Bombyx mori: one gene and its partner. The protein of the gene in region 2 interacts with the protein of the main gene of each other region in a pairwise test. Links are inferred from orthologs where the notes say so. Each region holds a gene or a part of one and is shown on either strand. Other genes may lie near its edges.

Region 1 (12,312 bases), on a different chromosome or scaffold from region 2:
ATTGTGCACTTTCACAGATACTAAACAGCCAATAAACCACCGTTTTTACACATTTAAACCTAAAGAAACACTAAATAGAAAAAAAAAATCACACAACTTCACTCCTCGCGTTCCCGCCAAAAAGTCCCTGAATAATATTCAAGTCTTTCAAGTCCCTGTGAATCATAGATTATCAAAATAAACCAATCACTGACTTTGGCGGGAACGCGAAGAGTGAAGTCGTGTCTATTATTTTAATGTATTTAATTCAGTGTTTATTATTTAAGTTTATATTTGTATTAATGATGGCTTATTAACGATTTGTGAAAGTGCACAAGTATGTGAAAATAAAGCTGAATAAGGTGGCGCCACCCTAACAGATAGTTTTTCGCCGAAAAAAATTCCTGTTTAAAACACAGACAACAAGCTCCTTACCGACTCTCCATAAACAAACGAAACCATTCTCGCCAAAAAGTCACATATTATTTCTTTTCGTCTCATTTCACTACATTTAATTTCATTCATTTTCACACTAATTGATTACTAATTCAGATAAATCAACTTCTGCAATTAAATGCCATAACGTCATGTAATGAAATGGACTTGATTTATTTATTTAATATGAAACGAAAGACTATTACGCGCCATTTCATTTTTTAAATTTTAAGGCCGCAATAAATTAAAATCTGGCGTTAAAAAACGTGAACTGGATTTCTTCAGTGATTCACTTCAATGAATTTCTCCACGTAACTGCTTCATCACCGATTCAAGTAATAATAAATAAATAATAACCGGGAACAAGTCACTCACAGTCATCCAGTTCGAAATTAGGATTCCATGTACTTACTATAGGAACCTAAGACTGCTATAGTTTAAACATATATAGACAATAACAACAACTCAGACAAAGAGCAAGCAAACTTGTTCATAATACGAATGTTTACCAAATATGGGAATCGAACACACGATCCTTGGCGCAACATTCGGAGGCGCCAAATACTGCACCACAGAATCAGTCAAATCTTTATTAAACTCACATATTATATCACCTGTTGGATTTAGCTATTAGTCTTCTTTTTTTAGATTAGATAGTGCTTTCACGGGTTTTTTTTTAATTAGACTAGTTGATACTTTAAGATAAGTAAGTTAGAGGGTTATGTAACACCGGTCACTCACATGCGCACGAATACGCAAACCCGCAAGTGTAGGACGACATTTGCAAATGATTATGCAAAGTTTTCGCTACATTCGTGGTTTTCCAAGTTATGTCGGTTTTTAACAGACATCAAAGCGCGCGAACCTCGAGCCTTCGCGTAGTCTCCCACACATTCGCTTGCCCAGTTGCACCGACGATTGCGAAGGTAACGGACGTATACTATACGCCATTTTCATAGTTCGTGACGTCTACTGTGTAGCGTATCTTCATCAAAAGAAATCCCATAAAAACAGCATGGCTGTTAATGATGTCTGGGAAAGAATTCAAAACTCTTTTTCTCTTCAATGTTCTATTGACGAATTAAAAAGGAGAAATTCGTGAGACATTCGTAAACAAGTGTGGGAGGAAGCGCAAACGGGTTCGCAAATTGAGTACCGAACCCATTTGCACAGCCGCTAGGTTTGCGAATTAATGTTTGACGGCCCTTCACATGCGCGCAAACATTCGTACAATGTACGAATATTTGCGCGCATGTCAGTGGCCGGCATAAGGAAATATGTAATTTGATATAGTTAAATTGAATAGAAAAAAGCCGATTCAATTGATTCTTGAAAAAAAGTCAAAAATTGTCATTCAATTCGATTTACAATGCCCCTTAATTAAAATTATTTATGATTTTTTTAAATTAAGTTGTACCAACAAAATGATCGCCAAATCAGAGCATCGACAATTTTTTTAAGAAGATCACGTAGATTAAGGGTAACAGTGATAGTTGAATAGTTGAGAACATTTTGAATTTATTTATAAACACGATTAATTGAATAATTGTAAAAAAATATAAAATTCAGAATGACACAATTGCACATAAGTACCGTACCTAACTTAATGAAACGAAACAATTAATTATGAAAAAAAAAACTTGAAGTGACTACGCTTGTAAGGATCATCAGGGTGGCGCACAGTGGGTCGATACTATGATTTTAGTGACTTAGGCACCAACTTTGTTTTTTTACATTTTTCTTTATGTAGATAGATAGAGCTCGTTAATCTAAATAATAGTTGTTTTAGGCAAAAATTACAAAAACTTTATAGTTTGGTCAGAAAAATGTGTTTTGTGATTTTTTTGTATGGAGCGGGTCACATTAAATTAAATTCCTGCTAAGTACCGCGAGGTCCCGCTTTGAAACTTTATTTTCCTTACATCTTGTCTAGTCTACTATCATTTGATGCTATGAACATGTGCATAAAGTTGCAACTCTGCCAAATAAATGGATCGAAAAAAATGAATAAATACATAGAATAAAAACCTTTATATTTTTTTTCGTAAGTGCTTTTAAGTTAAATTTGATATGGATTAGTAAGTAAAAGCACGTAATGATACCCATAATCACATAATACCTAACAACAATACATTTAGTAGGTCTCTAATTAAGCAATCTCTCTAATTATTAGGATAGTTAACATTATTTAATGAGGATAACTAGTTAAGCAGCCATTACTGGGCAGTAAAAAATATAGTAAATATTTGTTTGTCTCTGGAAGTATAAAGCGACCATGTTTATTATATACTAACTAGTGTTCATTTATTCGTACTACTACTAACATCTCGTGATTGTCGTTGTGATCTTCCTTTTTCCGTTATAATGAATAATTTTGTTAACAATTTAGAATTATTTATGATTTTAAGAGAGCAACTACAGTCGCTTTCTGATAATAAAAAACTCTTTCAATTCCTACAAAATCAAATAAACGTGACCGAAGAGAAAAGTATTGAGCTCCAAAAATTCTGGACGCACTTTTGTTCAAATATAAGTGCAATATGAAAACGAAGTAGTCGCATGTTAGCACAGTTTATAAGAAAAAAATGTGATTGGTTAGAAGGTGCAATAAACTGGCTCGAAGGAATGATACCTGAAGCTATCAACACTGCACAGGAAAGGCATGAGATTTCTAATACTGAAGATGTTGGAAATGTACCACCCTCAAATGTACTACAGAAGCCTCGACATCTACTTTTACACCTCGAAAACCTTTTGAAGAATTGGGATCCAGGCAAAAACGAAGACGCATTGAACAAATTTACCAATCGCTTTCGTTATCCCCGGATGAAATGAAAGCTACTACAATTGCTAGTTTGAGAAACACTGGAAATGAAGATATAGGAGAAATAATGAACCACTTGTCAAATCACCCCGAAGATTTAGAAAAAAGTTAAGGAGTGTTTAAGTACAAGTAAAGTGAAAAGTAGTACATATTCTCCCGATAAGGCACTATTAGTTTCACTTAAATTAAGTAAGTGGCAGTATATAAGCCTAAGAGAAGCAGCAAGTGAAAATGGGTTTGATTTATACCCTTCTTAATATAAAATTAAGCAAGAAAAGACCAAATGTTATCCAGGGAAAGACGAGGTAATTATTACTGAAGAAGGAGCTGCTATTAAAATGCAAGCATTACTAAGCTTGGCGCTATATAGGCTTTTAGATGTGATTACTTCGGATTTGGACTCAGCAAGAGAGCTATTGCTTATAAGCAAATAGGCTTTGATAGAACCCCAGGTCAAAGTAATTATAAACAGAAAACTGAAACAGAGTTTGATGATTCATCTATTTTCATGGTCAGTCTAGTTCCTATAAGGCTTCAGAAATTTGATGGAACAGTTGTTTGGGAAAACGATCTACCCTAATCAACTTTTTATCGCCATCCAATAATGTTTAAATTTACAAAAGAAACGCAGTCAACAGTGGCAATTATAAAAGCTAGCATAACAGAAGAAATAGAAAGACTTCAGCCATCAAAAATCAAACAAGTTGAAGTGAATCATCAATTACACTTAACGATGACAGACGGCAAAATAACCTCATATTTGTCAGAAACATTTTCTGCTGTCTGTGATATTTGCAAAGCAAAACTGTCAGGGCTCTTTGGAGACACTTGCTTGTCAAAGAGAAAATAATGAAGAAATATTCCAGTATGGAATGCCATCTTTACATGCCTGGATAAGATGCATGGAGTGCTTACTTCATATCGGTAAATATAATTTTATTACTTCATAATTTTTTCATCGTATGTAGTTTCCTGTGAGATTATTTTTTATATGACACTTTTTTGTTTGCCTCTTATCGTTTGGACTTCAAGAAATGGGGTTGCAAGGGGGGATGACAAAGAAAAAATATCAATCAGAAAGAGCGCTATACAGCAAGCGTTTAAAAAGGAATGCGGTTTACTTATAGATGTTGTCAAGCAAGAAGTAGGAACAACCAATGATGGCAATACTGCCAGAAGATTTTTTAGGGATGCAGAAGGAACAGCCCGCATAACAGGAATACGTAAAGATTGAATGGAGAGGTTTCACGTGATTCTTCAGACTGTTGCATCTGGACCTTTCCAATTTTTCCGAATTTTGTAGATATACTGCAGAATTGTATGTTAATTTATATCCCTGGTATTATATGCCTTTAAGTATCCATAAATTGATGGCTCATGGCGGTGATATACAATAATGAAGAACTTTGGTGCCATTCGAATAGGTAAGCTCTCGGAAGAGGCAGCGGAAGCTCTCAATAAAGATTTTCGAAATATACAGAGAGTTGTTCTTCTAGAAAAATAAGTAGAACGTCGACTAATGAGGATATTTTACACAATCTTCTTTTGTCTTCTGGCCCAAAGATCGAATGGTGAAACAAAATATATAAAACTTAGAGAGATTGCTTAATTAGAGACCTACTAAATGTATTGTTGTTAGGTATTATGTGATTATGGGTATCATTACGTGCTTTTACTTACTAATCCATATCAAATTTAACTTAAAAGCACTTACGAAAAAAAATATAAAGGTTTTTATTCTATGTATTTATTCATTTTTTTCGATCCATTTATTTGGCAGAGTTGCAACTTTATGCACATGTTCATAGCATCAAATGATAGTAGACTAGACAAGGTGTAAGGAAAATAAAGTTTCAAAGCGGGACCTCGCGGTACTTAGCAGGAATTTAATTTAATGTGACCCGCTCCATACAAAAAAATCACAAAACACATTTTTCTGACCAAACTATAAAGTTTTTGTAATTTTTGCCTAAAACAATTATTATTTAGATTAACGAGCTCTATCTATCTACATAAAGAAAAATGTAAAAAAACAAAGTTGGTGCCTAAGTCACTAAAATCATAGTATCGACCCACTGTGCGACGGGTAGAATCATAGATTATACACTTAATATATTTGGTAGAATCACAGAACACTGTTACTTCTAGCGAAGGGTAAAATACGAATGAAACAGATTTTTTTTTCCTGTCTAGCTAAGAGCCTTTAGAGGCTATTTCAGCGTAACCTTAACTAGTAGGTGAGCTCACGGGGCTCAAGCCTGACGACTTTGCTAACACGAACCCTAACAAGAGCCGTGCTTCGCAGAATCTACCACCGGATCGGAAACGCGACCCACTGAGAAGATCCGGCGAGAAACTTAGTGGGCTGTGTCTGAGGGTATTTATACAATTATCTTGACCTATTTTAATACAAACATAATAGGTAATATTAAACATTGTTTATCTTAATTATTCTGCTGATTATTGACGTACAATTGTTATTTAATAATATCGAATTATATAACATAAATAACATTAAAGTTTTATTGCGCCGAAAGCTGTCAAGCGGAAGGCGCCAATAAATATTTATCATAATATATGAATATGAATCAACTATTTACTTGATTATGAAATTACTAATCTTATACTAATATTATAAAGAGGAAAAACTGAACCGATTTGAAAAATTCTTTCACTGTTTGAAAGCTACGCTATTCCCGAGTGACATAGGTTATAATCTTTTTTGAAAAAAAATATGAATCCTTACCAAAACTCCAATAATGTAATCCAAAGTGTAAAAAAATTACCTAAAATATTCTTGACACCGTGTGCCCTGCGAAAACTATGATTGATGATAGAATAAAATAATGTACCACTAGTATCTATTGATGATAAAATAAAATAATGTACTACGACATTGTAGAACACATTATTATTTACAAAAAGTGTCGCGACAGCGTATGTCTAACTATTATAGTTATGCCGCAATAAGTGTTATTTTATTTAAAAAAAGAAAGCAACGTCAAATATCGTTGAAATTTTTGTTAAAGGACCGAGCGGAGCCGGAGCGGGCCGCTAGTTATAATAGAAGACTATAATAAGTTCTATATATTTCGGACTAGGTACCATCTTTTCGTAATTTGAACAATTTTCTACGTGATAAAAAGTTCTCTTCCCAGGAGGCAGTACAAATGCTTTTACACAGTTTGTAGAATCTAGATCACCAGAGCTTTATCGCAAAGCCATAAATGACCTTCCTATTAGATGGCAGCAATGTATAAATAATAACTGTAGATATATTGATTTAAATAAATAGGGTAAATGAAAAAAAAAAAAAATCAGTATAAATTGCCAATTTCTTACTTTAACCCATAATATTACACGAAAGACGCCGCAACGATATTTAGAGCATGAAGACAGTAAATTAGTAACATATCAGTTATTTATTTTTATAATTAAGTAGTACTTTTCAATTTAAATTATCAGACCCAATAGCACAGCACCGCGTTAACACAATAGCAGGGCGTATTTTCATTAAGCGGACAAGCTTATTTAGGTGGCTTAAAAGACCGTATGTCGAAAATTCAAGATAATTGGTTGTCATAACAGCTGATTGCGTCACTAGAGTCAAATAACGCAAAAATAAAAAACAAGGCGCAGTAGATTGAGAAGTTGATTACGATTCGATCATCTGAAATTGCAGTGTGTTATAAAATATCAACATGAAATTCCAATACAAAGAAGAACATTCATTTGAGAAGAGAAAGGCTGAGGGCGAAAAAATCCGCAGGAAATATCCAGATCGCGTTCCTGTAATTGTAGAGAAAGCGCCGAAGGCTAGGCTTGGAGACCTCGACAAAAAGAAGTATTTAGTTCCGTCTGATTTAACAGTTGGCCAGTTCTACTTCTTGATCCGGAAACGTATTCACCTGCGGCCTGAAGACGCACTTTTCTTCTTCGTGAACAATGTCATTCCACCCACATCTGCAACAATGGGGTCTCTCTACCAAGAACACCATGATGAAGATTTCTTTCTATACATAGCATTTTCCGACGAAAATGTCTATGGAAATTAATTCCAAATTATTCACTTTCAAATAGTTTTACACTATCTGACCATATGGTGAAATTTAATTTAAGTCTTAGATTAAAATTGTGTATTATTTTATGGTATTTTTTTATTATTAATTGGCATATAATACTATATTTGTCTTCATATGAATAGTATAAAACTTTTCAAGCAAGTAAAGGATTGCTTTGTTTTCACATCTTTGTTTTGGTTGAGTGTCATCACTGCTGTAATAAAAAATAAATAAAAGATAAAAGCAAATCTTGGTGATTTATTTAAACCTTTTACACTAAAATATAACTATGATATTTTCAAAACAATGATGAATGTTTTCTAATCACTTGAAACACCTAACACATTGTTTTTGTTACACACAAAAGCATTGTTATCTTAACTTGGAAAACACAATTTGACACAAATATTGTAATTTTTTTTTAAATCTCAAAGTAAACCATAAAATTATTTTACTTTGTTACTAATACTACCCCTAATAGTAATTTACAATACTATCAACGTCTATTAATCACAGTGGCTATAAACTAGTCATTGACAAAGGAAAGAACTGGTAAATTCCATAATAATTTTGCTATTATAAATGTTTTTGTTGTAAGTAGTTAAGATATCTATAATACATAAGTGACAACCAGTTCATGTTGGCACAACATGTATCTATGTTAGTAGTTAGACTTTTGGTAGACTATGTTTATATTTTTAAAAACAGCCTAGGTTCAACTTCCCATAGGAATGGTATACTAGATTTGCTTTCCAAATAAGAAATTAGTGGATGGTTAAGTACTATAATAAGATGAGGATATTACTACTCTAGATGACTGAAGTACTATTCCTAGCTCTATATTGGGTGCTCTAGGTCTTACCCAGCTTTTGATTAATAATTTGACAAATTGTAATGGGAGAATCAGAAAAAGTGTCGTCTTTCTAGTTTGGGGACCGATGGATGTCCTTCTTGTCTAAACTCATCATAGGCCTTATGCTTAAAAAAATATCAACTGTGGCTGTTCTTAGTGAACACTTAAGTTTTCCAGAGGGAACTGTTGTTCAGATAGTGCATTTGGTTCTAGGAACAGTTTGAAACACCAAGGTCTTTGGAAAGATTTGTAACGATTTTTACTGATAAACTTATGAAATGATCTCCCCACATTGTGAAATGGTAATTGAAGTTTATAGTGAATAGTAATGGTTTGGCTATATCTTTGTACTAGATAATAGCAATGATATAAGGTAAGCATTTTTCATCAGGTATGCGCCAGGTGTGGCCTCACTGGCAGTTCATCATAATCTTTATTCATTGACTTCTTTTATGAGAACGATCCATGTTTGATTTGCACCAGATGCGTGGAATACCATCCTTCTGGTTTTGGGTAAGTTGCTTTGCAACAGAGATAAAAAAGACTTACTAATTCGTGGCTTTATCTCTGCTACAATTAATTGATTTATATCATAACATTGTTTCCTTAATGAATTTCTGGGTCAAAATGATTTATATGCTTAATTCACTTATGGTTCGATCTGTGGTTACAATTTTATTTTATGCAGCTGGGAAATGGTTAAAATTAAAACATTTTATTTTCATCACATTTATTACTAAAGGAAATTACAATTAAATGGAAATATTTTATGGACACTTAGGTACTTCAACGTTTTTTTTGGACTAATTTGTAACAGCAATAAAATTACTAGCCCATCTAATATGAAACTTTTTAATTATTTTAAACAGTTTAATATGGAAATAGTCTAAGTAAATATTTATATATATATTACGGATAATAATAATTAATAACACTAACTGTTATAGCAAATAAACCATTTGTATTATACGTGGATGCTTCAGTTTTTGACACAAACGAGTTTGGGGTTTATTTGTACAGGTAATTGGCGAATATTTAGCATTAATACTCATTTTAAATTGGGCTTCAATCTCGTTGATGACATTAACTAAATAATAATCACTAAAGATATATCGCTCAAATAGTAATAGTCTACCTAAAATAGTTTAGTTGGTAAAGAAACAAACAAAATTATTTATGGGGCTTCTCATGCTATAAACCAATCTTTAAATTTTCTTTGCGCAGTGGATATCTGAACATAACATACAAATAAAACACTAGCCAAAAATTAGTTCTTCTATCATTTAGAAAATGAGTCTTACCTAAAAATATTAATTCTAACATAGGAAAATTAAATATTAATCAGATATCTGCTCGCCACCTGGAATTTCTCAATATTATCTAGTGAAAATAGCGATATAATATAAACATTTCTGCTGGAATTCTAAAAATGAAATCAATCTAAGTGTATATATAGCGTAGTAAGGCGTACAAAAATAAAAAAGAATGAAATTAAACACCGCAGTTACATTTCCGTATATTAAAAGTAATTCGAAATTTGTTATTGAATTTATATATCTGGAACCTACATCAAGATTTATGCTATAAAAATCGATATTGTTTTTAGCTTATTCTAGAATCGTTTAAAACCTCATGTAGTTGTGAGGTCTTCTTGACGGCCGTCCTCGTGATCGCATACCGCGTCCACGTGCGCCACTCTCGCTGTCTGCAAATAATGAAATATTTGAACAACTGCATGCGATCGAATTCCGTATTCATTGTTGTATTTCCGGGCACGTTATTTGTATTTCATGAATTTGTAGAAATTCGATACAATATTAATAAACAAAAAAATTCTAGTACTTCTGTGAAGAAGTACAAGTAGAGCCCCTCAGACACAGCCCACTGAGTTTCTCGCCAGATCTTCTCAGTGGGTCGCGTTTCCGATCCGGTGGTAGATTCTGCGAAGCACGGTTCTTGCTAGGGTTCGTGTTAGCAACGTCATCAGGTTTAAGCCCCGTGAGCTCAACTACTAGTTAAGGCTACGCTGATATAGCCTCTCAAGGCTCTCAGCTTAGGTAGAAAAAAAAAAAAGCAGCGACAGGGACAGTTTTCTTCGTCCGCACCAGCTGAAAGTACCGCGGCGGACCGAAGCCTGTTCTGTAATAAAGGTGTTAATAATATACCTGCAGCCCTCATCCATCGTTGATTATGGGAGTGAGGAGAGTGCGGAGACCGCGTGGGCGCGCGGCGTGCCGGTGCACTAGCCTCCGCCTCGCGACCTTCTTCTGCTATCTGCTGTAATTTAATAATAATCATAATGCTATCTGCTGTAATTTAATAATAATCATAATGCTAATTGCTTAAACTTTGTCATTATGTCACATTTTGTCTTTAGACATTTTGCGCATCAGGGACACAAGTAAGTTTTAGCGGTAGGCAGCGGCTTGGCTCTGTCCCTGGCATTGCTGAAGTCCATGGGCGACGGTAACCACTCACCATCAGGTGGGCCGTATGCTCGTCTGCCTACAAGGGCAATAAAAAAAAATAAAAAAAGAAGAACATTAAAAGCCTTGGTCATGTAACTGTGGTGTTCCAAAGTTAAGATAGATTTTAAAACAAATTAAATAAACGCGAGATTGAGCTATATAAATAAATATTATTGTGATCAAATCCTTTAATCTTCATTTTAGCTGTGAATTAAGTTTATTTGTTGGGAAATTAAAGCAAGTATCGCATATAAATGATTTGCCATTAGACTTATTAAAATCCTTTAAATTAAAAATTAAACAACGCATATAAATAAAAATGATGCCGAATGATCATTGTTCTATACTCTTCTTGTGTGTACATAAATAAATAAATAAAATTAAAAAAAATTAACATATTCACTTAAACTTTAGCCATATTGAAGTGTTTCGCCTTTTCTTTCTTCATCTTCGTGCATATTTTAGGCATTCTATTAATTTCTTAAAATATTCTTAATCAAACTTTTTCTACTTGCCCTCCAATAATTGCCACAAATGTGCTGAGTTTGTTGGTGATCAATTTTTTACCCTTCTGTCGAGTTCATCCTAAACTAATTCAATGGGAGAGGGGTCAGGTAATTGAGAAGGCCCTTGAATTTTTTATTTTATTTTTATTCTTGTTCAAAAAAAAAAGGAAAGTTGGACGAATACTTAGAATCATTATATTGTTGAAAAGTGAATTCAACACCAATTTGATCTGTTTTATCTGATTCTGGATCTGTTTTAAAATTTGGTTTGATCTGCATGTCTCTGTTCAGTACCGGGTATGATAATATTTGAAAAAAACAATCAAATGGGCTCCTTTATTTAATTTTCCGGTTATCCTCCCAAACTTCCAAGGTTATTTTTGCCAAAACAAGTCCAAATCATAACATTACCACAACCCGATTGGTCTCGAATTTTTTTTTCCTCGTTCTAAATTATATTTTTCCTCTGAACTATTTATTGTCCAGTTTATATGCTCTCTGCCTATTCTAGTTTATTCTTCTTATGTCGAATATTTAGCTTTAGTTTTTAGCTGCGATTATTAGATATAGCAGTGAAATGTGAATTCCGTTTTGAAAGATCTCTAATGAAGTTATTCTCTTGATTAGTTGTAGATTGGGGTCTACCAGATCTTTTTTATCTCCATTTTTCCCAGTTTTCTAGCAAGATGTAGTAGTGGATTCCTTAGTGGAGACCTTTCCGTCTTTGGGAGATTTGACATTCAAGGTATTTTTCCTCGTAGTGTACAAATAGCGCTTCGCAATTCTATTGTAATTTCCTTGCGTTTTTTCCATATAAAAATATTTATATTTTCTGTTACTACACAGTGGCGATTTATTTTTTGTATAGAAACAGGTGTGCTTCCAAAATTTTGGACGGTAGTGTACCAAGACAATCGCAATAGGGTAATTATTAAATTATGTTTGAACATAATTTATATTGCCTTGATAGTAGACCTACTAATTAATAGAAGCATATATTGATTAAATTAAATCTGGACGTTTAATTTTGAGTTATAAAGTTTACAAGCATGGGTTGCTGTCCCCTTCCAGGTAGCTCATAACTAATTGACTACGCACGTAAGATTTGACATCACTACGGTGTACTCTGTAGACCTTGTGACTAGAAATATAATAGGTTAAAAAGTATATAAACTAAATTAAACCC
Region 2 (12,454 bases):
AAAGTGTCCCACTTTCAGCACAAAATAACAGTTCAAAAATCCTCCAGAATGGCGCTAGCATAGGCACAGGGTATGATGATATGAATTGAGCAGTTGTTAACTGACTGAAGTATGCTGAGCTATGAAATTTAATATATTTAATGACTAGAGTAGTTAGTGACAGTGTAATATGCAAGACCTCCACATGTTTACGTAGACCCAAACGAATTTCGTCAATATAACCTAAAATTATTGCTGTAGTAAAACGTGGAGACATCGATTGCATTTTCTTATCAGCTTTAAATAAAAGAATTTTTGTGGTTTTGTAGTGCTTACAGTTCTTTCGTCCTTTTTTCTCTATTTTATTCTAATAACTTTTTTTAAATTTACCCGTTTGCTACTGTAGCGCCACTCTTATTTAGCTGATTTTAACGGACACTTTTTCACACACAAAGACGGTTCTCCTTACCTCTACCCTCCGTAATTGTATTGAAAAGGAATTCATTCATTCAATATTCGTTCATTTATACAAATATATACGTTCACAGAGATATTATTCAAAATATATATAAAAGTTGTTAATTATTTCTCTGGAATACCGATACTAATAAATCAGCGCGTTTTTCAATAAGTAACATAAGCTGTTTAACTTTTTCTGCTTAAATTAATTTAAAATTTTATTATAATAATATATTCTGTGACCCATGCAGTACTTTTAATGTATTGTATCATCACTGTGATACACACGTATATCATGCGTTTGAAAGTATGTTCACAAAATAGATTAAATTTACATTTAACAAAAGTTGGTTTGACTCTTCCAGATTTCGTTTCAGGCAATGATGAACAAGTATAATACTCGATTTGATCGCTTCTGTTAATATTTATAATATTTTAAAGTGTTGGTTTGAAATTTTAAAATTAATACTGCATAGTCCCTGTAAGAAATATATACCTAATACTAAAAATAAATACTTTAATGTAATCTCTATTTCACCATTTTAATACATTTTATAAAATAAACGTGTTTTTTCTTGTCCCGAAACCAACTGAGGCAATTTAAGCTAACATCGACACTAAATACAAAATTAATATCTCAAAATAAATAGGAGAAACATAAAATTGAATAATAGGTTAAGGTTAAATAATCAATTCAAAAAAGTATAGCATGTGTAAGTACATGTAGATAACTGATACATATTGTAATTGAATTTTTCCCCAAAAATTCGGGAATTTATAACTTCTAATTATCGATCTTGGCTTGACAAAATAGTCGATAATTTTATAATAAGCTGAGTGTGCTCAGATATTAATTTCCTGTGCTCTTTCCTCTTTTTTGCCTCCGGGGCTATGCTAGAGCTTCATCGAACTTTTAAGCGAGCCATGGTGCTCAGCCTGGGAGAGTGCTAACATCTGCGTCTTCCGCCTATTGCGTATTGATATCTGTCAGAACAGTTGTGTGCGTCGGTGCTACTGTCTTAATTTTTCCCCTGGAAGGATTTAGTTCTAAAGTAACTGGCCCAAGATCCAGGTAACATATATGTGAGTTCATCCGTCCGTCTATGTTCTTAAAAAGAACTCAAGTGTACTATTCAGCACTGGCAATACTAGCATTAATGGGAAACGATTTGCAATATACAAAAAAAAATCAGATCTAAGAAAAATTTAAATCTGGTAAACATTACATTATTACAGCTAATGAACTTTAGCATCTGTTAACGTGTACAACTGAAAAATGCCACAAACACGTTAGCGGCGGTTTATCGGGCTCTTCCAACAAATTAATTTACGTAACAATAAATTCCTAGTATTTAAAGGGACATTTTTATATTATATTTAATTTGAAATACATAAACTTTATTTTATAATACCCACTCACTAATAAAAAAAATATATAAATAAGAATTTCGGCTAAAAGAGTAAAATTCAGAACAATAGAAAACAAAAAAGAACAGTCAGATCAATAATAAATATCGGACAATTTTGGACAACAGACTTAGCGGGAAAGTATAGTCTCCATTTAGTGTTTCGTGTAGTTTAAATGTATAATAATAGTAGACTATTAACCAATAAATACTTTAGAAAATGAAAAATGTGAGGAAATCGGAAAAAACACGCTATGTTGTTCTTGGTGTTTTTACAAATACTTTGAAGTCTAAGTTAATTCCCGCCACTTTACAATTGAAACAGGCTAAAATGTTGAGTAGCAAATGGCCGTAAAGAAGTTGTATAAAAAAAAACGAGACATTGAATTTGATTTTGATTGGGTGTATTTTTATTGTATACAAAAAATACTGCTGATCAAGTGTAATAAACGTGTTTAATTAAGCCTTCTACTGTGTAAATAAGTAATTCTGACGGGGACATGGAAGACGAGATAGAAGACAGAGTATTACATCAAACGTACGTTTCTTTTGTAAAAATATTGTCTAGATTCACCAGTAGCACTTTTCTTGACGCTCCTGTGAGCTATTTATGGAAAATGGTGCGTCTTTATTTTCTGCGATCTGAAGTAGTTGTGATCACACTAGCTATTGTGATCTTCTTAATGTATCTTCAAAGTATAGAATTATGGAGTCGAACAATGCTAAGCAGACTGTCGCAAGCGATGAATCCTATGAGCGCTGTTCAACGAATGAAACTCATGGAGGGATCCGATGCAGACAAGCAAAGTTGGGAACTGAAAGGCACGTTAAGTGCTGCTTACGCAATCAAAGGTAGAAGAATGCACATGGAAGATAGATTTATAATAAACGAAAATGTAAACAACACAGGCATATCACTATTCGCTATATTCGATGGACACGGCGGAGAGTTTGCTGCTAACTATGCCAAGGACCATCTTATACAGAATCTTTACAACAAAATTGTTGAACTTAACGCTTTCAAAGAAGGTAAAATATCTGATATATCTAGAGAAATTATTGAGGAGTATGCACCTAAAGAGGAAAATGTTGAACGTAAAACAAGCTTCAAAAAGTCAGTTAGTACTGCAGATGATACATCAAAAAAAGAAATAACAGATCCTGAATTGCTTGCCCAGCTTTCTAAAGCAAGGCCAATCATTACCCGAGAAGTGCGGACCACAACTAAGCCAGTTAAGAATATCAATATACCATTATCTAGTTATATTGACAAAGGAAAAATTAATTATGGAAAATTATTGACTGATGAAGTTTTAGCAGCAGATAGATTACTAGTAGAAGCTGCAAAGAAGTCTTTGAATGTTGCCGGCACTACAGCCCTTATTGCAATAATGGAAAATAATCATCTGATAGTGGCCAATGTTGGTGACTCCAGGGGAGTCATGTGTGACTCGAGAGGCAATGCTATTCCTGTCTCGTTTGACCATAAACCACAACAGGTAAATGTAATTGCTATCCCTCATACTTAGAACTGTTAATATTAGTCAATAAATAATGTTATTAAAGCAAATATTTAAGATTTAAATGTAATGTTGTAATTTCAGGTAAGGGAACAAAAAAGAATTGAGGCAGCAGGAGGTTACATTGCTTATAATGGAGTTTGGAGAGTTGCAGGTATCTTAGCTACTTCAAGAGCTATGGGTGATTACCCACTCAAAGATAAGAAATTTGTCATAGCAGATCCAGATATACTTACTTTTAACTTAAATGATCATAAACCTATGTTCTTAGTCTTAGCCTCTGATGGTCTCTGGGACACGTTTACCAATGAAGAAGCTGTGAAATTTATTAAAGAAAGACTTGATGAACCAGATTATGGGGCAAAAAGTTTAACACTACAAGCATATTATAGAGGATCAGTCGATAATATTACAGTTTTGGTCATAAACTTCCTAAATACCAATATAACCATCGCAGGAGTTCAGTAGAAATTGTAATTTTATTCCTTAGTTTAGATCTTCGTAAGAGATTTCAAGGTACATTTTTCACAGTTTTCTAGAAATTTTATGCCTGATAACAATTAGGTCTCATACTTGGAGCAATTTGAACAATTACAGCAATTGAGAGCCATGATAACTTATAAAGAATACCTTCTGAAAAGTTAATACAGTATCTTACCATGAATACATAGTGCATTTGAAGAAGTATTTATTTGGAATCTTTCCATCCAGTAAAAAATTTATACTATTTTCTAAAAGATTACCCTAGTGTTTTTATATATACATATATTGTAAATAAATAAATATGCAGAGGACAAGTAATTAATGACTAAAAACCCCAAAATTAAAAACATTAATGTGGCAAATTTTCTTTTGTGTGAAGAAACATATTAATAAAATAAGCATAATATACATTTAATGTTTTATGAAGTTGAAGGAGGATAAATGTATTTTTACTAAAGCAACTATTCTGAAAATAAAGTTTAAAGAAAATGTTTTTAACTAAAAAGTAAATTTGTTACTTAGACCAGAGTAACTTATATTTTATAATGTCGGATGTGCATGTACCTAATTATATATTTTTGAAATTTAATATTTGAATTTATGGATGGTTGTGAAGTGTATGCAGATTTTCATAAATCTATTTGATGTTATTGATGATAAGATATTCTGAAAAAAAAGTTGTTCAACAACATTAGAGATAAATTGATGCACATTATCAGGTGTCATATTTGTGTACAAGTAGTTAATAATATATAGTATGAAAACAGTTGTATGATAATGAATGTTGCAATAGATATAAAAGAATGCTATAAAAATGCACTTTTTCCTAAATTTATTTCTTATATAATAAATATTTTGGACGTTTATATTCATGAAAGCCATGATATTTTTCATTTGATTGTCTGAAAAGTACATTAACTACAATATTCAACTTTATTTACAATATATAATATTTATATAATCGTCTGAATTTGCTAAGATAGGTAATTATTTTTGCTCTTTACTAACACTGTTGTTATGTTGTTGAACTGTAGTTATTATTTTGGCTAAGTAAAAACAATGCCCCCATAATTATTATGTTGCCTGTGGTGCTAGTCATTTTTTTTTTTTGTTATTTTTGTTGTTCGTAACTTTATGCAAATATACCATAGGAATAGTAAACAGTGTGAGTAAGATTTCCATAAAATCTTAAATTACTTATCTATGTTGTCATCTCAATAGGATTATGAAATTCATTGGTGTCAAATAAAAAAATGTATACTGCTAAAATTATTTTTGTACTGCAAACTGTGTATTGATTATTGCTGACCTCATTGGAAAACCTTCAAGTGTTGCATGATCAAAAGGTTATCTATGACTTTTCTATCTTTGGCATGAATCATACATAAAATATATTAATTCCTCTATCGCGGTAATGAGATGTAATTTATGGACTGCAAATTAATACTAGTTGGCTGCGGTGCGGATTTTGTTCCCCGTGACTAGTTTTTCATAAATATTTTATTTTCTATTGTGGACTTATCAAAAACATTACCGAATCGCTTAATCGTGGACAGATTTTACACAACGAACTTTTGGCGGATATTTGATTAAAAAAGTACGTACATAAAAAGAACCAGTTTTTTTTCTGATCTAATAAAGTAATCATCTTACCGCGCTACATGGAACTGGTTAAATTTTATCAAACTTCTCTAGATACATGCCATAGGTACCGCACCTTGCCACTTATCTACGCTGGGTTTTACTATGGATTAGTTCAATCCTTTCGACAATATTTACCAAAAAACAATTTTAATACCCAACGCCTTATCGCCATCATCATGTATATGTATGTTGGGAATGAATTTACTTTTACCTAGATTTTATCCTTAGCAATTAAATATTACAGGCTTTTACTCCCGTATCTAATTGACGAAAATGGAAAGTGTGCAAGCGATCTATCGGTTAGTAGGTAAACTAGGTGAGCGCAAAAAAACCCATGTGCGTACCCGCATAAATATATTTTTTAACACAGTTTTATCTATAAAGACCATTAACCATAGTAAGAAGATTTATCCTTAAAAAAATTCAAGTATTGTTATTTCCAAGTATACTATGCCTAATGATAATGAAATCTTTGATTACCTACTAAATTCTTTCGTCCCTGTTTGAAACTCATATTCAGTCTACCTCGTATCTACCAAATAAAATCGTACCTACCAAATAAAAGAAAATAATTTTCGATAAATGAATGTGGTAATTTTAGACTTGTTTTATTACAAAATAAATAATCATTAACAGGTATCATGTAAATAAAACACAGTTAAAATATTATTTCCCTTTAATACAAAAATATTCAGGTCTTTGGCAGTTATCTAAGTTATACAAAAATGTTATAGTACATTTGACTCATTTTCTCCATTATTTAAATATCTACATTTTTACACTGCCGAGTAAAACTTTAGAAATAAAATAATGCGACACATAAATATGTAAAACAAACATTGTAAGATGTAATTAAATAAAATGAACGGCAATTTCTTTTATCTAATAATTAACTAAAATTACAAATCATGGGAGACACAATGCAGCAAAGCGACGTATGTAACAAATAAAAGAGAAGATCCGAGTTATAATAATATCAGATGCTTATTATTGACTAGACATACCTAAAAAAATAAAATAAACCATAATATAACTACGATTCCGAAATTAGGAATGTTATAATTTTATCTAAATTACAAGTCACTGTTGCGTTTAAAGGCACTGCAAACTATCCAACAACAGCTTATGCACTCGGCACTAAGAAAATACGCGTACTACGATTTTATAATATACTCTAGTACTTACTTTAATATAGTGCTGTCGTCTTCGTAAATATAAAATAACGTTACAAAGTTTACAATTATTCTATCAAAAATCCATCGTGCTAAATCACTCAACAGTTTTGGCATTCTCATTATGTTAATATTGAAATAACGACACACAGTGCGAATTAAAATTGCAATGAACAAATTAATAGTTTAAATAACCGTATCAATTACAAACGTAAGAGTGCCTGAATAAACTATAATAAATACCATGTCTCGATATTGCATAACAATTACAGGGTAATTAGTTGCAAACTTTTTGCATTTACCCTGATAGATCATACGTAGAGGTTATAGGAGTAGACTCTTCATAACCTCCAAAAAAAAATATGTTTTATACTCGATTTAGGAATTACCGGGTTGAACCAAAAATTCTCCAAATTTGGTGTGAGTTGTAAACTCTAAAGATAAAACTAATAAGAATTTCTATTAGTTGTCAACAAATAAATTATAATAAATTTTAAATGATATAGCATTTCAAATATTGTATCTACCCGTTCCAGGACAATATAATTTAACAATGCAAGTTTCATATTTTAAATGACCCTTGTTTATAGAATTGTATCTCTTTCCTTACCGACGAACAGGACAAGACCTCGGTCTAACAATTTTAAGCTCAAGGTGACGTCGTGTCCTGAATAGGAACAAAACAGCAGCCATATTATTTAACTCTTAATACAGATTTATGCAGAAGTAAATAATAATAATTATTAATAATAAATAATACAAATATATAAAAAAACCCACCTCTGGTTTAGGAGTTACACGAAACCAGATGTTATGTGAGTTAATTAAAATCAGAAGACTCAAATGATGATTTGGTTCTATACATAATCAGCCGACAATTAATAGCAAAAAGATTATTCAATGAAAGAGCCTACCACGTTTATCAGAAAAATAATCTGCTTATAGTTCGTTGAATTGTTAGTTTAGTGATTACAAAAAAAAAAAGCGAACCTCTGACAAGGTTCGTAAAAATGTCTTTTGTCTTAGTAAATACTCTTTCGTAATGTTCAAATTACACAATAAGGCCACATTATCTGCGTTTTTCAAAGAATTTCGAATTCTTCATCCGAGTCGTCAAACTGTCTGTCCACGTCTTCAAACTCTGGAACAACAAGTACAAATTTAGCAACAACAATCACTACATAGTATAAAACAAAGTCGCTTTCTCTGTCCCTATGTATGCTTAAATCTTTAAAACTACGTAACGAATTTTGATGCGGTTTTTTTAATAGATAAGAGTGATTGAAGAGGAAGGTTTATATGTATAATAACATCCATTAAATAGTGAAGAAAGCAATAATAAATTACAGTTTCCGAAGCGAAGCGACGGCAGGTCGCTGGTTTAAGAATAAATAAACAAGAACAAATCCGAGTTTACCCGTAAAGAGTGAAGTGCTTTGAAAGTCAATGTCGGTTGTGTTCGGTCCCCAATGCGACGGTCGTTTCTCGCATATTTCGAACAATGGTTGGCTTTCTTTCATAAACTCCTGTTCTATAGTTTCACACAGCTCATAAAAATCACCTCTAGTACGACAAAGGAAACACTAAAAAAATACATCGAAAAAAAAACTTTAATTATTTATTGTAGTGTTAGCTTGGTAAGTTGATAGAACATACTTAAACTTATTTTCTTTTAATTGCTTTAATTGGAAATCATACACAACAGTAATGCCGTCGTTCTGACGCATGTCTCAGTTGTACTGCAATGACATTATCAAACAGGAAACGATATATTATTATCTTGTATGTACATTTTTTTTAATGTCCATTAGGGCAAACGATCATGCAGACTACTTAATGGTGAGCGGTTACCGTCGCTCATGGATATCAGGAAAGCCAGGGGCACAGCTAAACCGCTGTCTTGTTTCGAATAACCGGCCCGAAATCTGAACATCGCCATAGGTACAAGTACCTCTTAACCACCAGGGAAAGTACACTTCAATTTTTTTTTTCCTACCTAAGCTGATAGCCTTGAGAAGCTATATATCAGCGTAAACTTAACTAGTAGGTGAGCTCACGGGGCTCAAACCGGAGTGATGCTAACACTGACCCTAGCAAGAGTGCTTCACAGAATCTACCACCGGATCGGAAACGCGACCCACTGCGAAGATCCGGCGAGAAACTCAGTGGGCTGTGTCTATGGATTAATTCGCTCGTCGAGTCTTTCGTCGCGACGGGTTCGACGCGGACGGTAACCGGTGCTTGTGGTGCCTAAAAGCACCGTTAATTAATCAGGAGGATCCGTAATGACGTGCTTTGGGCGACGTCGACGGTTTACCATTCGGTTTACAGGATCGGGTATGTAGTTTCCAGCGGCCACGACAAGAGGGTTCTCATGTCGTGCCGCCTTCTCAAGTGGCGCATTCAAATTATGATAGCCCGATATTCTCCTGTTAGTTAATGTAATGTAACCCTACGTTGCAACGCAATCAATAGCTTAATTTGGTACTAGTCGAATTGGTATTTAAAAAAATTATCACTTACCACCGCCACTGAAGGATCCATGGAGAGGATAGGTATTCGAGATGCATATTTACAATGATATGTACAGTCCATTTCCTTTTGATCGTCAGTAATCTTACTCTAAAAAGATTAAATATTTTTTATCTATGTACTTAAAATAATTAACGGTAAAATCTTTTTAAACTGGTGGTCATCGGACACGGCCAACAGACTTCACTCAGGCAGGGAATCTGAAACTCGCTTAGATGGCGCCACATTGAGACCTCGACCACATGTTATAGGGGGGTTGGTGACATTCACGTTGTGATGTCTATAGGCACAAAAATACAAATAGCACCAGATGGGCTTATCCAATAAAGAAAATACATTTCTTTACTACGAAAACATGTTTCAGTACATTAAATTAAGTATATAAGTAATTTATAATCTGGAAAGTGGGACTGCATACATAGGTTGCCACTCATGCGAATGTCTGAGCTTTGGCTGCTAATCTCAGTTTTGATGAAAGCTAAGAGACATGTGTTCATGAGGGCTCATGATTGATAGCCAATCAAAATTTACATACACAAGTAAAAGCAAAGTACGTTAGAGGAAGTCTGAAAGTGGCACCTGTGACAGAGAAGCTGAGGAGTGCGCGTTTGGGATGGTATGGACATGTGATGAGACGAAATGAAAATGAGGTTGTTAAGAGAGTGTTGACTATGAATGTGGAAGGATTTAGAGGAAGAGGTAGACCTAAGAAGAAATGGATGGATTGTGTGAAAGACGATATGGGTAGGAGGGGAGTGAGCGAAAAAATGGTATATGATAGAAGAGTATGGAAGGAGCAAACATGTTGCGCCGACCCTAGGTGACTGGGAGAAGGGCAGGATAATGATGATGAAGTAAAGGCAAGTAATACATTTCTAGTAGTTTATTTAAAAAATATATCTGAGGATGGGATAACAAAGAACAAGTGTAAATTTGTATGAATGATTATTAAGTCATTACCTCAACTAATCCAGACCGTTGAGTTGTATGGGGATCTAAATAAATAACTTCATCTTCAACACAACCAATCAGGTACAGAGCTTGATTTGGTTTGCCTCCTATGACTCCAATCGATTGCGGACATTGAAAGCACATCTAGGGAAAGATATGCATTTATTTTAATCTTTATAAGAACATTTCCTGATTTTTTTACTGTTATAAATATATGTTACATGTGATATAATAATAAAATTTAAATGAGTACACTTTCTAATGCAAATGTAAATTTGTTTTTACTACTCAAAAGTTTTTTTTTTTAATTTAGAAAAAAGATTTAGTTAAGTGAAAAAGTCCCGGTTAAATGGTTACCGGAATTCATAGACATCTTTTTTTTTTTTTTTTTTTTTTTTTTTTTTTTTTTTTTTTTTTTTTTTTTTTTTTATTGCCTTTGTAGGCAGACGGGCATGCGGCCCACCTGATGGTGAGTGGTTACCGTCGCCCATGGACTTCAGCAATGCCAGGGGCAGAGCCAAGCCGCTGCCTACCGCTTAATACTCTCCATAAGCCTCGTTTGAAGAAGGACATGTCATAGCGCTCGGGAAACACCGTGGAGGGGAGCTCATTCCATAGCCGGATGGTACGTGGCAAAAAAGATCTCTGGAAACGCACTGTGGATGACCGCAGTGGCTCCAGGTAGTATGGATGAACTCTACTCCGGTGGCGGGCGGTGCGATGGTAAAAACGAGATGCTGGTATCATCTCGAACAATTCCTCAGAGCACTCCCCATGGAACATACGGTACAAAATACAGAGGGAACCGAAGTCCCTCCGCAGACCCAGAGGCTCCAAACGATCCGAGAGAATGGGATTATCGACAATCCGAACGGCCCTCCTCTGTATGGAGTCAAATGGAAGAAGCTGGTATTTGGGAGCCCCGGCCCAGAGATGGGAGCAGTACTCCACGCGAGGCCGGACTTGTGCTTTATAAAGCAAAAGTCTTTGTCCAGGCGTGAAGTACCGCTTCGCTCTGTTGAGGACTCCCAGCATTTTGGACGCCAACATCTACAACATAAACGTCTCCACCCACCTTGAGACGTGAGTTCTAAGGTCTCAGTTTTAACAGTACAACAGCTGCCCCACCCTTCAAACTGAACGCATTACTGCTTCACGGCAGAAATAGGAAGGGTGGTGATACCTACCCGTGTGGATTCACAAGACGTCCTACCACTAGTATTAGTAGTAAGGAATAGTGCTCTGAAAACCACACCTTTAATCCATTTACGTAGACAGGATTAATTTCGCTAAGTCCGAGCCGCAGTGGAACTATTAACAATAGAGGCATCCAGTCTGACACCACACCGTCAGGCGCTGAAGAAGTGTCACCTCTATCATTGTTAACTAAACATTGTTGCACTGTAACAAAAACGAACAGATTACAAAGACAGAATGTAGGTATTATACAATTTTAAATCAAAAGATATTAATGACAAATAGTGTTCGCCCAATTGTGGAAATTTGGCTAAAATCTTTTACACCTCAACATTCTAGTTCTAATGTACTTACTACATTTCCCGTTTGTTATTCACATTTTGAAGTAAAAAAACTTGCTACTAAATAAATAAATAAATAAAACTATTGATAACACTAATCAATAGCAACAATAAAAAATATAAAATATATATTTTTTTAACAAACAGAAAACCTTAATTCTTTTATCAAGTAGTTGCAGCTCTTAAGAGTGAGTTTGGCCATCCTGTCAAATTTCCTCTACAAAGTAATACTGTATCAATTCAAACTCAGTGTAATTGTTATACATCTAAATCTCCTATCCTAGAGTTATGATAGCTATATAATTAATTAATTAACAATTAAACTACAAATTATTTGGAAAATAAACAAATTGTCCATAATGCTTACAGATATCTTCCTTGACAACAGTATTATCTAAAGCAACATGAATTGCTAATGAACTCCACTTGTCATACACAGTCAGTTTTCTGAAAACATACCAATTAATGTGTAATGTATTTGATAAAAATTAATTTTATTGTTGTACTTCATTAGTATTTTTTTTTATATTTACAAATATATTCCATAAACACAGAGCAAACAAAGTATTGGGAAAAAACAATTCAGTGCTAAATTTCCTTTATATCACCTCTTAACCTTTCACACCTAAAGAATTCGAGATTTTTCATATCTCACCTTTAATTTTGGAATACTATACTCACTTTAAAACTTGAGCGATTGTATTAGGTCCAAACCACTGGCCAACTTCTTTTCCTTCAGAGGCACCCATCAATGCCACTTGATGGATAGA

The links.
Region 1: the proteins of cysteine protease ATG4B (region 2) and Atg8 interact in binary tests that used the Caenorhabditis elegans proteins (3 or more experiments, as listed by UniProt). The link is inferred for Bombyx mori from reciprocal best matches to the Caenorhabditis elegans genes atg-4.1 and lgg-1.

What each region holds. Positions count from the first base shown.
Region 1 is NC_085117.1:12,315,983-12,328,294, reverse strand, and holds Atg8 (autophagy related protein Atg8), read left to right. Parts: upstream 1-6,842; 5' UTR 6,843-6,939; coding exon 6,940-7,293; 3' UTR 7,294-7,547; downstream 7,548-12,312. Other genes in the region: nucleoprotein TPR, read right to left, coding at 9,775-9,857, 10,318-10,429. UniProt on the Caenorhabditis elegans protein: Ubiquitin-like modifier involved in the formation of autophagosomal vacuoles (autophagosomes). When lipidated mediates tethering between adjacent membranes and stimulates membrane fusion during autophagy. Recruits lipidated-lgg-2 to maturing autophagosomes.
Region 2 is NC_085110.1:6,051,088-6,063,541, reverse strand, and holds the end of cysteine protease ATG4B, read right to left. Parts: coding exon 12,366-12,454; intron 12,132-12,365; coding exon 12,052-12,131; intron 11,548-12,051; coding exon 11,402-11,547; intron 10,291-11,401; coding exon 10,156-10,290; intron 9,286-10,155; coding exon 9,187-9,285; intron 8,247-9,186; coding exon 8,081-8,246; intron 7,805-8,080; coding exon 7,746-7,804; 3' UTR 6,150-7,745; downstream 1-6,149. Other genes in the region: protein phosphatase 1L, read left to right, coding at 2,345-3,343, 3,449-3,832. UniProt on the Caenorhabditis elegans protein: Cysteine protease required for autophagy. Cleaves the C-terminal amino acid of ATG8 family proteins lgg-1, to reveal a C-terminal glycine.